2 linked regions of the Rhinolophus ferrumequinum genome follow. The protein of the gene in region 1 interacts with the protein of each later gene in a biochemical or structural test. Links are inferred from orthologs where the notes say so. Each region holds a gene or a part of one and is shown in the gene's direction. Other genes may lie near its edges.

Region 1 (6,928 bases):
CTGCTACTCCCCGAGTTTGGCCTTTCAAAACATGGGTGTCCTGGGGGTGGCCAGTTAGCTCAGTTGGCTAGAATGCGGTTCTGTTAACAAGGTTGCTGGTTCGATCCCCACATGGGCCACTGTGAGCTGCACCCCCACAACTAGATTGAAACAACTACTTGATTTGGAGCTGATGGGTCCTGGAAAAACACGCTTAAAATAAATAAAAGTTTAAAACAAACAAACAAACACCTTATCACCCCCAGTGCACACTAAAAAGGGCTTCCCACTGTTGGTGGAACTAAATCTGTGCTCTGGGTCTGGGTCACAGGGCTGGACCTATGCCCCACTCTCATTGCGCCCTCCCCACCCCACATAGCCTGCAGACACTCTGCATTCCAGAACAACTCTATGGTCCACCCTGAAGGACTCCAAGGTTCCAGGCAGGGTTAACTGCCCCTCCTTGGGGCTGCCCCAACCCTGGGCCTCCTCCCCTTGCCAAGGTACACAAATCCCTGTTTCTATGGGTCGAGATGTTTCTCTAGTGCTCACCAGCGCTTGGCGCCAAGTGGTCCACAAATATTTGTCCCCAAGTGCTGGAACACTTGGTGAGGCGCCCGATTTCATGTTGCCTGGAGGTACCCCGGTTCAGAGAGATTGGTGCTAGGTCCAAGATGAGGGAGCATAGCTGATTAGGGGCTATGCAGAGGCTCGGCTTCTCCGCCTACCACCCTCATGGCCCCCCTATGTCTCTGTGGGGCAAGCAGCCCTAGGACGCCAGCCGCATCCCAATCCCCACCTGGCAGGGCAGGACCCAGTTAGAGCCGCAGGGGCGGGGTCTAGGGCAACCCCTCGGACTATGCAATCTCAGCCAGAGCCCGCAAGGGGCGCTGCGCGGCCGCACTTCTGGGTTAGAGCCCCGCTCCGCGCCTCTCGCGATGGGAGGGGTTGGGTGGCTCGTGGGCAGGGCCAGAGGGGAGTGGGCGGGGCAAGTCGCCCCGGGCGTCTTGGGCTAGTTTCCTGCGCGTCTTCCCTTTTTGGTCCTGTCGGTTCTCCCCTTCTCTCTCACTCTCATCTCCGGGTCTCGTTCTCATCTCTTCCCGTCGCCCTCGTCCTGCCTGCTCCAATTTCGGGCTCGGAAGTAAGGCCTGGTGTCTGAGAGAGGAGGCCCTAAACGGGGCCTGGTCATCCCGCGGGGCCATTAATGCCCATTAGGGAGGCGGTGCCAGCCGAAGAAGCTCTGGGCCATTAGCGGGGCGTCAGACTAATGGCTCCACCCCCCAGACAGGCCGGAGCCCTTCCTCTGACTGTGACCAAGCCTCTGCCCACTGCCACACCCCAAGTCCCCTCCCAGGCTCAGGCTCCGCCCTTCGCTGGGGGCCTTGTAGCAGCGAGCTGGGCTCAAAACTCAGAGGAAAGTCCCCTCCTTACCCCAGGAGGACCATCAGGGGCCTAGAGCACTCACAAAGTCTGCATAGCAAGATGGCAGGAGTGGGTGAGGGAGTGGGGGGTGGGTTATCACCCAGACCACCTCTGATCTGACATCCTGCTGGCCTCAAGGCTCACTTCCCCTACCCCTTCCCCAGGGACCCCAAACAGTTCACAGCCCTTGGACACCTTTTAGCCCACACTCTGGGCCTCTGCCTTAGCCTCTTTCTCTGAAGCCCGAGGCTGGAGGGAATGGCAGGGGAGAGTTTACCTGAGAGCTTCCTCATGGCTGTTACTCCAGGTCCTTGAAACTGACTCTGCTCTCTCTTACTCATTCCTGCTCCCCCTTTGTAATTTTTACCAGCAGTTCTTTTACCACCCAGAATAACCTGGGTGGTTATTCTGTTGCTGTTACCCACCTCCTTTGTTACTGTTATCTTCCTGGGTACTTTCCAGGCTTTGGGGCCTCCTTTGTTATTGTGGGATGCAATGTTCTTCCTGGCCCCTGGCTGTGACCACATGCCATTACCCCTCCCTCCAGCTGTGTTCTGTTCCCATCCATCTTCACTCACAGGCTGAGTCCTGGGCTGTGGAAGGCGAAAGGGCCCAAGACTGATTAGTGGTTCTCCTATGGATGGGGGAGATGGTCTCCAAGCCTTCTGACCCAGGGAACTAGGGGCCTCTACCTTCTCTGGTGATTTCCCATCCAGCCAGCTACCTCAACTCTGGTGTGGCCCCAAAGCTACAGTTTGGCAGGTCCTGGGTGGTCCTGGTTGCTATAGGGTAATCCCTTGGGGTGGTATATGGTGGACCTCCCAGCCCACACCCATCCTCCCAGCCTCCTGGGGCAGAAGCACCAGGCTGGGCCAGGGGAGGCCAGTCGCAGGCCAGACAGGCAGCTTCTGGACAGGCAGACAGATGGAGGTGGCCAGCCATATGGGCGTCTATGGCAGCATCAGTCAGGAACTCAGAGGTGGGGGTGGGGGAACAGCCATGCAGCTTTGGCCTAAGTGGCTTTTAGGGGCAGCAGTTGGGGTGTGGATACCCAAGGGGCTGGGGCCCAGGAGGCTGCCCAGAGGCGGGCCTTGTGCTTGGGCGGGGGTTGGGAGCCCAGCCTGAGGGCACTGGAGAGGGGAGAAGTAGCAGCAAGGACTGGGCCGGATCTGAACCTACTTCTGCCCTCATGGGGAACTGTCTGGGCTGGCTGTGCCTGACCCCCAGGCACCAGGTATGTGCAGGGGGCAGGGCAGGGCTGGGGAGGGGCAGATTGAGGGGAAGCCTGGGCCAGTTGTCTTCTGTATCTGAGGCTGCGAGGACTGTGGACTTAGAATCTCAGCCCTGGGCCCTAGAGGAGCCCAGGGTGGGAGCCTCACCTTGGTCTCTTCCCTCTCCAAACCTTGGTCTTTTGATCTGTAAAATGGCCTGAGGCCCCTAGGGTTGTTCCAGGTAAAATGCTCTCAGAGGCAAGACAAAGCATAAATGATTCTTCATTGTGATTATTGTCCAGTTGTGGGAAGAGGGCACTCATCCTGGGAGGGGGTAGAGGTTAAGGGAGGGAGGTAGAGGCTAAGAGGTGGGGAGGAAGAAGGGAGGGGAGGGCTCTGTGTGGAGGATCCAACAGGTTTCTGCTCAAGGAAACACCTCCTGTGAGTGCTGACCACAGGCCCGAGCTCAGAGGCCAAAGTCCTCAGCACATTTCATCCCAGGTCAGGAGTGGGGTAGCAAAGACCCTCTTGTCCCAGCCAGACGAGCATTTCCTTCCCCCACCCTTTCTGTCACCTACCAGGCCTAGGATGAGCAGGGTCATAAGTGGGGGCCCTTGGCATAGGGAGGGAATGATGGACACGCACAGCACAGATCAGCACAAACACGCCTGGGGAGGGCCAGGGAGTCACCCAGTCACTGACCTCCAGTACATAAGTAGGGGCTGCTGCCATGTCACTTGCAAACCTCTCTTTTTGCCTCTGGGTCCACCCTGGGCCAGGGCATCAATGAGTGCAGGAAGGATCCATATATATAGACGGTGGTGGTGGTGGTGGTGGTGGTGGTGGTGGTGGTGGTGGTGGTGGTGGTGGTGGTGGTGGCAATGTAGCTTCCCAAGGAGGATGGGGAGAGCTGTGGCCCTCCTTGTTACCCGCTGTCTCCAGTGTGTGTGCGGGGGTCCTTAGGCTCTATAACACTTTCTCCATCCCTCTCCCACTTTATAAGTGTAGAGCCCTGCATGCAGTAGGTGGTTAATAAATGTTCCTGGAATAGAAGGCAAAAGCGCTGGAGCCAAGGAGGCTGCCGAGAGTGAGGGCGAGACAGAGAGGTTCCGGTGATTCGGGGTACCCTGTCCCTACAGTCTTCCCCCGACTCCCTTTGGGCTTGCAGGGCGCCGGGACAGGGGAAGGCCAGGATGGCTTGGACTCAAGGCGGGGGCGGCGGGGCACTGAGGGGGCGGGGAAGGGGCGGCGCGGGGGCGGTGCCGCAGCCGGAGCTCCGGTCCGAGCCCGAGGCGACGGGAGCCGAGCCGGAGCCACCGAGGACGCCGCCGGGTCCCCAGCGCCTCCGCAGCCTCCTCCGCGCCGCCCAGCGCTCCTGCCTGCCCCGGACGGCCGTCAGCGCCGTGGCCGGTCCGTGGTCGGCGGGTGGGCAGCCGGCGCCATGGCCGCGCCAGAGCCGCTGCGGCCGCGCCTGTGCCACCTGGTGCGCGGCGAGCAGGGCTACGGCTTCCACCTGCACGGCGAGAAGGGCCGCCGCGGGCAGTTCATCCGGCGCGTGGAGCCGGGCTCCCCAGCCGAGGCGGCCGCGCTGCGCGCCGGAGACCGCCTGGTCGAGGTCAACGGCGTCAACGTGGAGGGCGAGACGCACCACCAGGTGGGTGCCTGCGCCCCGCTGGGGCCCGCCGGACGCCCTCCCCGGGAGCGCGACCCTGTCCCGCGCGCGCGGGGTGGCGCCAACGACCACCCCGTCCGGCGCTGCCCGAGCCCAGGCCTCAGCTCCCTGTTGGAGGCCAGGAGGGGGGTCGCACCAGGGCCTGCGTGCCTCTCCCTCCGGGTGGTGGGGGACATGGCCACGGAGGCAGGGGCCGCCAGCCTTTTCCCTAGCCTCCCCCACTCCTCAGGAAGCTCGGTCCTGCACCGCGGAGGGGGAGATCCTGGAAGGGAGGGGCCCGCACTGCGGCTCCTTAGCTTGGCTCAGGCTCTCGCACTTTAGGCTTGTTCTGGCCTCAGTGTGCTAAGTGTGGAGGTGTGGGACACCTTGGCGGGGGGCTCTCCATGCAAGGGAAGACCCTGGGTGCTTTTCTATGTGTGTACACACGCGGGTGTGTACAAAACTGGGTATATGTGTGAGTGTGCAGGTCCCTCTGGGGATCACCCATGTGTGCACACATCTGCCTGTGTGTGCCTGGAGGGTGTCACAGTAGGGGCACACCTGTGTGTTCCTGCATCAGGGAGTGTGTGTGCTGGACTGTGTGCGTGTGAATATACACGTCTGCACCCTGGGTTTGTGTGTGTGGACAGATCTGCACACCTGGACATGTGTATATGAGCTGGGCTGTGTGTGTGTGCATGAGCGCATGCGTGCTGGATGAGTGTGTATGAGCTGAGTTGTATGTGTGAAAATATTTATGTCTGCGCACCTGGATGTGTGGAGTCATCAGTGCGTTTTTGGCAGCCAGTACTCTGGTGTGTGCCCTGGCTGATGGTGCCAGGGTCACTGCTGGGGGCAGCGCATGTCTCTCCTCGGAGGCTGCTGGCCTTGCAGGCACCACCAGCCGCAGCCCCCAGCCTCCTACAGCTGAAGATGAGGGCCAGAGGGAGGGCAGAGTCTCCTCTCTACAGGTTCTGACCCCTAGGGGTGTCCATCTCCCACTGGCTGGAGACTCACCTGAGTTGGGTCTAGCCTTCCTCCACTCCTCTGCTTAGGGTCCTCTGTGTCCCCCCAGTGCCTCTGCATCCATGATATGTTGGTGTGGCCAGCTCTTGGGGCCTAGAGATTAGTGTAGTGGTTTTTGGCTGGGCCAGGAGCTGACCTCCTGCTCTCACCCTGGGCCCTTGTCTATCTCTGTATCTGTCTGCTGTCCTCTGTCTCCCACCCAGAATGTCAACCTGATAAAGCTGTTTGCTGAAGGAGGGTGGGGGTCAGGGCCAGAGGGCTTGGCTTGACAGGTCACAGGGAGGGGCTGGCAGAGCTGGTACCTGTCCTCTGTTTAACACTCATTGCCACCCTTGCCCCTACTTGTCCCAGGCTTCCGGGTGCTGGTCTAAGAACTTCACACACAGGAGCCTGTGGGACCCTCCCACTGCCCCAGGAGGGAGGGTGTGCAGTTATAGCTCCCATCTTAACAGATGAAAAAAACCGATGCTTAGAGATGTTAGGTGACTGGTCTGGGTCCCACAGTCAGGAAGGAGCAGGCTGCTGGGGCCCTGCTGCGACTCTCAGAGTCACAGGGAGAGGAGGGACAAAGCAGGGCTGCGGGAAGATGGGCCTGATTCAGACCCTCCTCTCTGTTGACAAGTTCTGCCAAGCAGCAGATGGGGACTCCATCTACCCTCCCCAAGGCCTTGGGGTGGGTGTGAGTGTGTTACCCTTCCTACCCCAAGGCCCGGTGGGCACTTTCTCCTTTTCCCTGCAGGGCACCGTGGCATGCATGCCCCATGGTCACCCACATGTTTTAGATACGTCATAGGCACCTGCATAGACACACAGATGGCCACATGCCACACTTGTCCCACAGGTGGACCTGCCCCTCCCCACCTCCACCTGCTTGGTGTGAATCCTGTTTATGGGGTGCTGTGTGATGCCTGAGTAGGTGCCTTGCCACAGGAACCCAGGGCTTCCCCTCTCTGCAGGTCCAGCCAGAGTGGGTCCATGGTCCGGATCAAATAGGGGGCTTAGAGTCAGGGGTGTAGATGTCCATGCTCCACCATTGAGAAGGACACAAATGGGCACCGACCCACCCAGGTCGTGACACCCAGGGAGACGCCTCTCTCCCTCCAATCGACTAAGACCCTGAAATAGGTGGATGCATGCCTGCACACATGCAAACATACACATGCACACACGCATACACACTGACACACCGAAACCTGAAGCTCAGCCATGTGCCATCGTTGTCACTTCCACACTGGTTGCCTCACCCAACTTCCCTGCCCCTCCTGGAAAAGATGCTGGGCTGAGGCCCTGGGACCAACCTGCAGCCCTTACAGCCTGAGCCCTAGTGTCTGGAGCCCCGGGAGAGGAGCGACTGAGCGGCTGGAGCCCGGGGGTGGGGGGCGGAGCTGGCGGGCCTCTCAGCCCAGCGACCCCCCCTTGATAGGCCAGCTGCCTGCCCACGAGCCCTGCCAGCTTTGGGTGGTGCCATTGTCCATGTGCTGCCCAGAGAGCTGGCCGCTGACCCACCGCCACCTGCCCGTCCCAGGTGGTGCAGAGGATCAAGGCTGTGGAAGGGCAGACTCAGCTGCTGGTGGTGGATAAGGAGACGGATGAGGAACTGCGGCGGCGGCGGCTGACCTGCACCCAGGAGATGGCCCAG
Region 2 (7,138 bases), on another chromosome or scaffold:
AGGGAGATGCCCCTTCTCTGGGAGTTCCTCTGGCCATAACCACCCCGTGCTGTCACCTTGCCCGTCCCCCCTCCCCACGCGGCCGTACCTCACTGGAGAACCTGGGGAGAGCCCCAGTGGGTCTGGGGAAGCCTTGTGTCCACCTTCCCCTGGGACGAGGCCTGCACAGGTGTGACATCCGCAGAGGAAGAGGCATGCTAGAGCGCGGCGCTGTAACGGGAAGCGCGGTGGGGGCATGACTCGGGGCAGCGAGTGAGGAGCCTTTCCTGTCTGCCTTGGGATAGAAGCACGGCTGACATGACGCGAGCACTTTCTGTGTGCACCCACTGTTCTAAGGACTCAGCGGTGTGACGTAGTTACTATCATTACCCTCCTCACGTTTGAGGAACAGTGTTAAGACACTTGCCTGGCACAGCCAGTGTGATGGAACTGGGCCTTGAACCCAGGTGGTCGGGCTCCAGGGGCAGGCTCCTAACCACTGTTTGGTGGAGAGGGAGGGGAAGAGCGAGAAGGGTCAGGCAGCAGGACTGGGCACTGGAGCGGGTACCCTCGGGCTCAGGCCACACTCCCAGGTGCAGGGGACAGGAAAGAATGACGCACTGCTGTTTTGGGGAAGAAGTGGGGTGAGGTCCTCAGGCCTTGGTGCCCTCGTCTGCAGGGAGGAGTGCACCCAAGCGAAGGCTGCCTTCCCCCATTGCTGGGAGACCTCCACGCTGGACAGTGGCAGCCCTCTCTCCTGCCCCGGGAAACAGCCAGACGGGCCCCACCCTACGAGCCGGTGTTGGGCAGGCCAGCTGAAACAAGCTGATAAGGGCAAACAATTCCACATTTGAAGAATGCCCGGAATTATCTCCCCTGAGGGGGCAGCTCTGGGCCCCTGAGAGAGGTGGTGCTGAGGAGCCTGATAACCAACCCCCAAGGGTGCTGTTCGCTGTCCAGAGGCACCAAGACGGCAGGCTCACGGTACAGCAGACAGAGCTGCCAGCAGACAGAGCTGCCCGTCTGCCTGACCACTCGGCCTGACGGGGGGTGACGAGGTCAGGTTGGGACTCTGTCCTTCCCGACACTGGAGCTGTCCTTCCTGCGATTTCTGCTCTCATTACCAACCTCTACCCCGCGCCCCTTATCTTAGCTTGGGCAGCTGCAACAAACTACCACAGCCTGCATGGCCTACACAACAGACTTTATTTCTCACAGTTCTGGAGGCAGGCAATTCCAAGCTCAGGGTGGCAGCAGGTCAGGTTCGGGAGAGAACCCTCTTCCTGGCTTGTAGGCAGCTGCCACCTTCCTGCATGTCCTCACATGACAGACAGGAGGCTCTGGTGGCTCTTCCTTTTCTAAGGACACTAGTCCCATCATGGGGGCTCCACCCTCAGGATCTCAGATAAGCCTCCCAAAGGCCCCAGCTCCTAATACCATCCCATTGGGGGGTAGGGCTTCAACACAGGAATTTGGGGGGGGCACCAAACATTCAGAGTGTAACACCCTTATGCCAGGGAAGTTGACCAGGTGCATCTTTGGGGACCCCAGCCCAAACAAGGGGCCACCTGGAGGCATATAGAGACCAGCCCCAGAGATTGTTATCCCCATTTTGGGGGGACCTGTGGCAGCCTGAAAAATGGTCGCCTCTCAAAATAAAAAGATGTACACATCAAATCCCTGAAACTGGTGATTATCACCTTATTTGGACAAAGCATCTTTGCAGATGTAATTAAGCTGAGGATCTTGAGATGAAATCCTTCTGGATTACCTGGGTGCTTGTTGACAAGTTTGACTTGGCAGTCATACTCTTTTTCTTGTTGACAAGTTTCCTTATAAGTGACACAGAGAGGGGAAGAGGCAGCAATGTGACCATGGTGACACAGATTGGAGTCGTACTGCTGCAAGCCAAGGAATGCCAGCGACTGCAAGAAGCTAGAAGAGGCAAGGAAGGTTCCCCCTTGGCAGCTCCAGAGGGAAGCTGACCTGCTCAAACCTTGATTTCAGACTTCTGGCCTCCAGACCTCCGAGAGAATAAATTTCTGTTTTAAGCCACCCAGTGTGTGGGCATTCGAATGGCAGCCCCAGGAAACTGATACAGGACCCAGGGCACCGAGAGGGTCCCAGCTTTACCCAAGCCCAGTGCAGGCCTGGGAGAGCGCCATACTGGTTGGCAGAGGTGAGGCGAGTCAGCTTCCCTGTTGCCCCTCCCAGGCTCCTGGTCCAGAGCTCTGACCTCTGCCCACAAGCCCCAGGTCAGGCTCCCCGACCCCCACCACTGCAGTTAGGACCTTTGAGGTGGGGGGATGGGAGTAGCTTTCTTAATGCCACAGAGGACAAGTATTTATAAGGGGTGGGTACAGAACGAGTGAGATACCTCGGGCCGAACACCAGAGCAAACAGTCTCCAGGGACAGGACGCACAGTGGGGGCAGAGGGGGGAGCCCAGAAGGGCCTCTTGGTGGAGGCAGCGAGTGCTCAGCTAAGTAAGAGGGAGGCAGTGGGAAAGGATGACCCAGCTCTGCGGAGGCAGGGACATGGGAAGTCCTGGCTGGAAGGAGGGGCACTGACTTAGCTGATAAAACCCCAGAAGCACAGAGGTGGGAACATACCATGGAGGCCGGGGAATCACCTTTTTCAAAATAAAGGAAGGAGAGTGAGAGGGGCTGAATGCAGTGTAAAGAGAGGACATCTGATGTACGGGCACTGGGGGAAAGTACTGGCCAGGCCATCAGGGGGCCCGGAGCCTCTCTCGGGCCCTAGGGCAGCCCCAGGTCCCTTACTGATGCCAGGACTTTGGGGCCATCATCCTTCCAAAGCCCCCATCCTACCAGCCGCACTGTAATTCCCAGCTGCTACGCAGAGGCCCAGCCATAAAGGATTTGGGGTCTGAGAGGGGTGGGCCCTAGAGAGCTAGGGGAGGCTTCAACCAGCCTGAACCTGAGGCAGCATCGCCTTGCCCTTCCAGGTCACGAGCAGGGCCTCCTGGGAGGGAAGAGGTTCACAAAGCAGATGCCATATGCTGGGGAAAGGAGTTTCAGGGTCCAGCAGGTCTCAGAAAGGCCCAGAGCAAGGCCTCTGAAGTGGCTGGTTAGGATGGCTCTTGTCACAGCAAAAGCCGCCTGACCCATGACAGCATCACGTTTGGGAAAGGACCTATGCATCCCCAGGGCCCTGAGACGTCAGCGGGCCCATTTCACAGATGTGTTTCTTTTATAGAGGGCCGAGGACCGACCCGAGGCCTTGGGGATCGGAGGCGGAACCCAGACCACAGGCCCAGGTCTCTGATTCCCCAGTCTGCACGTTCCTCGGTCTCCAGGCATCAGCGTACCCTGCCTGGTTTCTGCCCTTCCCCTGTGCCCCCTTGGAGCTTTCTGGTTTTATTTCCCTGGAGATGAACAGCAGTTGGCAGCGGGGGTGGACTGGGGGGGTGAGTTGGGGTTACCAAGGGACGAAGGGGACGTATATACTGGTGTCCCGGCCAGAGCCGCCCCGCTTACTGCCTTCCTGCCCTCCTGCCACACGCCCTCTTCCTGGGGCATTCTTTTGAGTTTCCTCTCCCACTATTAATAGTCAGGAGTCAACCCAGGTCTGTCAATGGCCAGGAACAGGAGGAAGCAGGCCCTCACTGAAGGTTGAGAGCAGTGTTCTCGGCCCAGGGGAGGACACTGAAGTGAAGCTTCTCCCACTCGCATCCACTCCCCACCTCCCTGCGCTGGAGATAAGCACCGGGAGGACCCAGCACCTCGAGGGGGCTGCCCCGTGCACCGCACTCATGTCCACACAGCCTTCAAGACCGGCTTCCTCTGCTCCCTGCAGTTGTCTTACCGACTGCGCTGGCATGACCCCTCGCTCACTGAAGGCCTTCACGCCTCCCTCTCCATCTCAAGTCGCGACGCCACCCTCAGTGGCCCCCGTACCCACTTGGGTAAACAATTCAACGGCCAGGCCTCCCAGCTGCGTGAGCTTGTCTCGTCTCCTTCATTCAGTCATGCCTGTTTCGCCCCCGGGAGGTGATCACCGCCACAAACCGCACCACCTCTGAAATCGAGGCGTTTCATGCTTTGACCACTGTTTCTCTACCTTCCGGTCTGTCTGCTCACGTTCAACGACACCGTAATGCTTGGACTCAAGACAACGACACCGTAGCGGCCCATGTCAGTGCCTATCAGCCAGTCTGTCGTCGTGCGGCCCGTTTCACCACCACCCACTGTAATCCCTACGGACAAACACCCTCAGGGCCCTCGCACCCCCTCCAGCCGGCAGGCGACTCACCGAGCAGACCCCATTCCCGATGAACCCTGCCCCCGCCCTTCCCGTGCCTCTGCCAAAGCCGGAACGCTGCTGCTAGGGGAGAAAAATCACTCGCCCTCACTGATCGGATTACTTTTAAATTCGTGATTTTACGCCTTCATCTGGCAAATCCTCCCCGGCAGCCCTACTGTGTTCTCCAGCACAGTGACCCCCAGGGCGGCCCCCCTGCCAGCAGCATCACAACAACTGAGGAACTTGTTCGAAACCCACGTTCTTATGCTCCACCCCCGACCTGCGGAATCAGAAACTCGGGGGCTGGGGTCCCCCCAGGTGATTCTGATGCTCCCTCAAGTTTGAGACCCACGTTTCTAGTAGGCTCCGTGTCCCATTTCCGAGATGAGTGTTTCGTACTTCCTCCTGCCGCCTCGTTCTTCCTCCTCTCGTATTTTATCTACATCAGTGTGGCTGAGTCCATCGAGACTTGATGGGGAACACTGAAGCGGGCCAAGGGGAACGCATCGTCTCGCTACCAAAATTACAACGTACTCACCGTCTGTGTCCATGCTCCTTCCGGTTTCAAAGGCGGAAGTGGCCGGTTTCAGAGGCGGAAGTGTCCGACCACGTAATAAAGTCCGGGTCCTCCGTGGGGGTTCTGGGTCAACACACGTGTATTCCTTTCTGTATCTTAAGGACCCGAGGAGACTGCAGAGTGGGAACATAAAAGGAGAGTTTTCCATCAGCCCTAAGGTCTCCTACCTTCAAAAAAGAAAGCAAAACGTTCTTGGCTGGACCAGCTCCCTCCAGTGGCTGCCGTATTTCTCAGCTCCTCTTCATGCCTAACATTTGATAGTTATCTACACACACACACACACACACACACACACACACACACACACGCTCACTTCTCGACCGCTCACTGTCTCTTCAGTCAGCCCCAGTCAGGTTTTCCACCTGTAAGTTGAGGTGGCCATGGACTTCCATTATTGCCAGTCTCATCATTCAGTACAATCAACCACTCCCCCCTTGGCAACACACACACACACACACACACACACACACACACACACACCAAAACAGACGTCCCTGTTGCATCTCCCTAATCCTAAATTTAGTATTAAGTTATCCCAAACTTAGTATTAAATTCTGTAAAATTGTAGTAATATTTTCTGTTTCTATCTCTAAAATCATATTTAGTTTTGCCAATTTTTGACTCATAAAGTCATATAAGTAGTCTTGTTTTTATTGTTCAGTATTATTTTTTAGATTAATTCATGTTAATACATGTATTAGATAATAAAATACATATAATGCATTTGCTGATTTCCAGGGCTGTGTAGTATTCCAATATGTGAATATACAATAACTTATTTATCCATACTACTTTTGATAAACATTTGCTTGTTAACTGTATGGGGCCGCTACAAAAACCCTGTTAAGAACAATCTCAAGAATACTTCCTGATGCATACATATATGCATCTCCCTAGGGTAAATGCCTGGTGATACAACTGAAAGTTGTAGATTGAAAGCTATCACTTGGTAATGCCATACTATTTTCCAATGTGTTTATACCAATTTACACTACTCCATATTCTTGCTGACACTGGTTATTGTCTGACGTAAAAAATTTTGCCATTCTAGTGGATATGAAATAATTCTTATTTGATTTTGCATTTCCCTAATTACTAACATATTTTAGAATGTCCAGAGGCTATTTGGGCTACTTCTTCTGTGAAATACCTGTTTAATTCTTTTGGCTATTTTTGCCTAAGAGGTTGTTGTTTTCTTATATAGAAGTTTTTTTGTTTTTTTTTTAAATGTTTTCTAGATACAAATCTTTTATGACTACATATGTCGCAACTATCTTTTCCTAATTCTTTTTTATTTCCCCTTTTTAAAAAGTTTTTAAATAATTGTAGATTTATAGAAGAGTTGCAAAGATGGTACAGAGAGTTCATATACCTTTCAGCTTCCCCTAATGTTAACATCTTACACAATCATGGTACATTTATCACAACTAAGAAGTTAACACTGGTACATTACTAATAACTAAACTACAGACATTTATATTTATATTTTACCGGTATTTCCACTAATGGTCTCTTTTGTTCCAGAACATGACATTGCATTTAATCATCACGTCTGACTCGTCTCTTACAATCTGTGGAAGTTTCTTATTCTTTCCTTATTGTTCATAATCTTGATGGTTTTTAAGAGTACTAGCCGGATATTTTGTGGAATGTCTTCCAATTGGGGTGTGTCTGATGGTTTTTCATGGTTAGACTGGGGTGATGTATTTTTAGAAAGAAGATGACAGAAGTGCCCTTCTCATCACAGCTTATCAGGGGATATGATGACTTGTGGATGGTCATGACTTATCACTGGTGATGTTAACCTTGATCATTTGGGAAAGATGATGTGTCTGTCAGATTTCTCCACTATAATGTTACTATTTTTCCCTTTCCATCCTCTGTTAGAAGAGAGTTACTAAGACCAACCCACATTTATATAGGGGTGGGGCAGAATATATTCCTCTTAGAGATGGGAAGAGTAGCTGCAATTTTTTGGAATTCTTTTGTAAGGATAATTTGGTCCTTCTTCCCCATTGATTTATTTATTCAATCATTTATCAGCACGGACTCATAGATATTTATTATATTCTTTCGGTTCCAATACAGTATTTTTTATTTTGTTGCTTAAATTGTTCCAAGTTTGGCCTTTGGGAGCTCTTTGTCTTTTGGATTTGCCCACTTTTTTTTCTTCTTTTAGCACTTCCTATGTTTGGCATTACAGGGTGTTCCAGGCTCATCTTGTATTTTCCCTATGTCAGCACTAGAGTCAAGTCATTTCTGCAAGGAGCCTTGGTTCATTTTATTGGAGAATGGCTGGGTATACTTGATGTTACTG

What was found.
Region 2: the proteins of NHERF2 (region 1) and PODXL form a complex in vitro, tested with the Homo sapiens proteins (3 studies listed by BioGRID and IntAct, with this or other methods). The link is inferred for Rhinolophus ferrumequinum from reciprocal best matches to the Homo sapiens genes NHERF2 and PODXL.

Annotation. Positions count from the first base shown.
Region 1 is NW_022680357.1:3,770,462-3,777,389, forward strand, and holds the start of NHERF2 (Na(+)/H(+) exchange regulatory cofactor NHE-RF2), read left to right. Parts: upstream 1-3,918; 5' UTR 3,919-4,053; coding exon 4,054-4,266; intron 4,267-6,814; coding exon 6,815-6,928.
Region 2 is NC_046309.1:15,373,238-15,380,375, forward strand, and holds the start of PODXL (podocalyxin), read left to right. Parts: upstream 1-4,133; coding exon 4,134-4,310; intron 4,311-4,414; coding exon 4,415-4,562; intron 4,563-7,138. UniProt on the Homo sapiens protein: Involved in the regulation of both adhesion and cell morphology and cancer progression. Functions as an anti-adhesive molecule that maintains an open filtration pathway between neighboring foot processes in the podocyte by charge repulsion.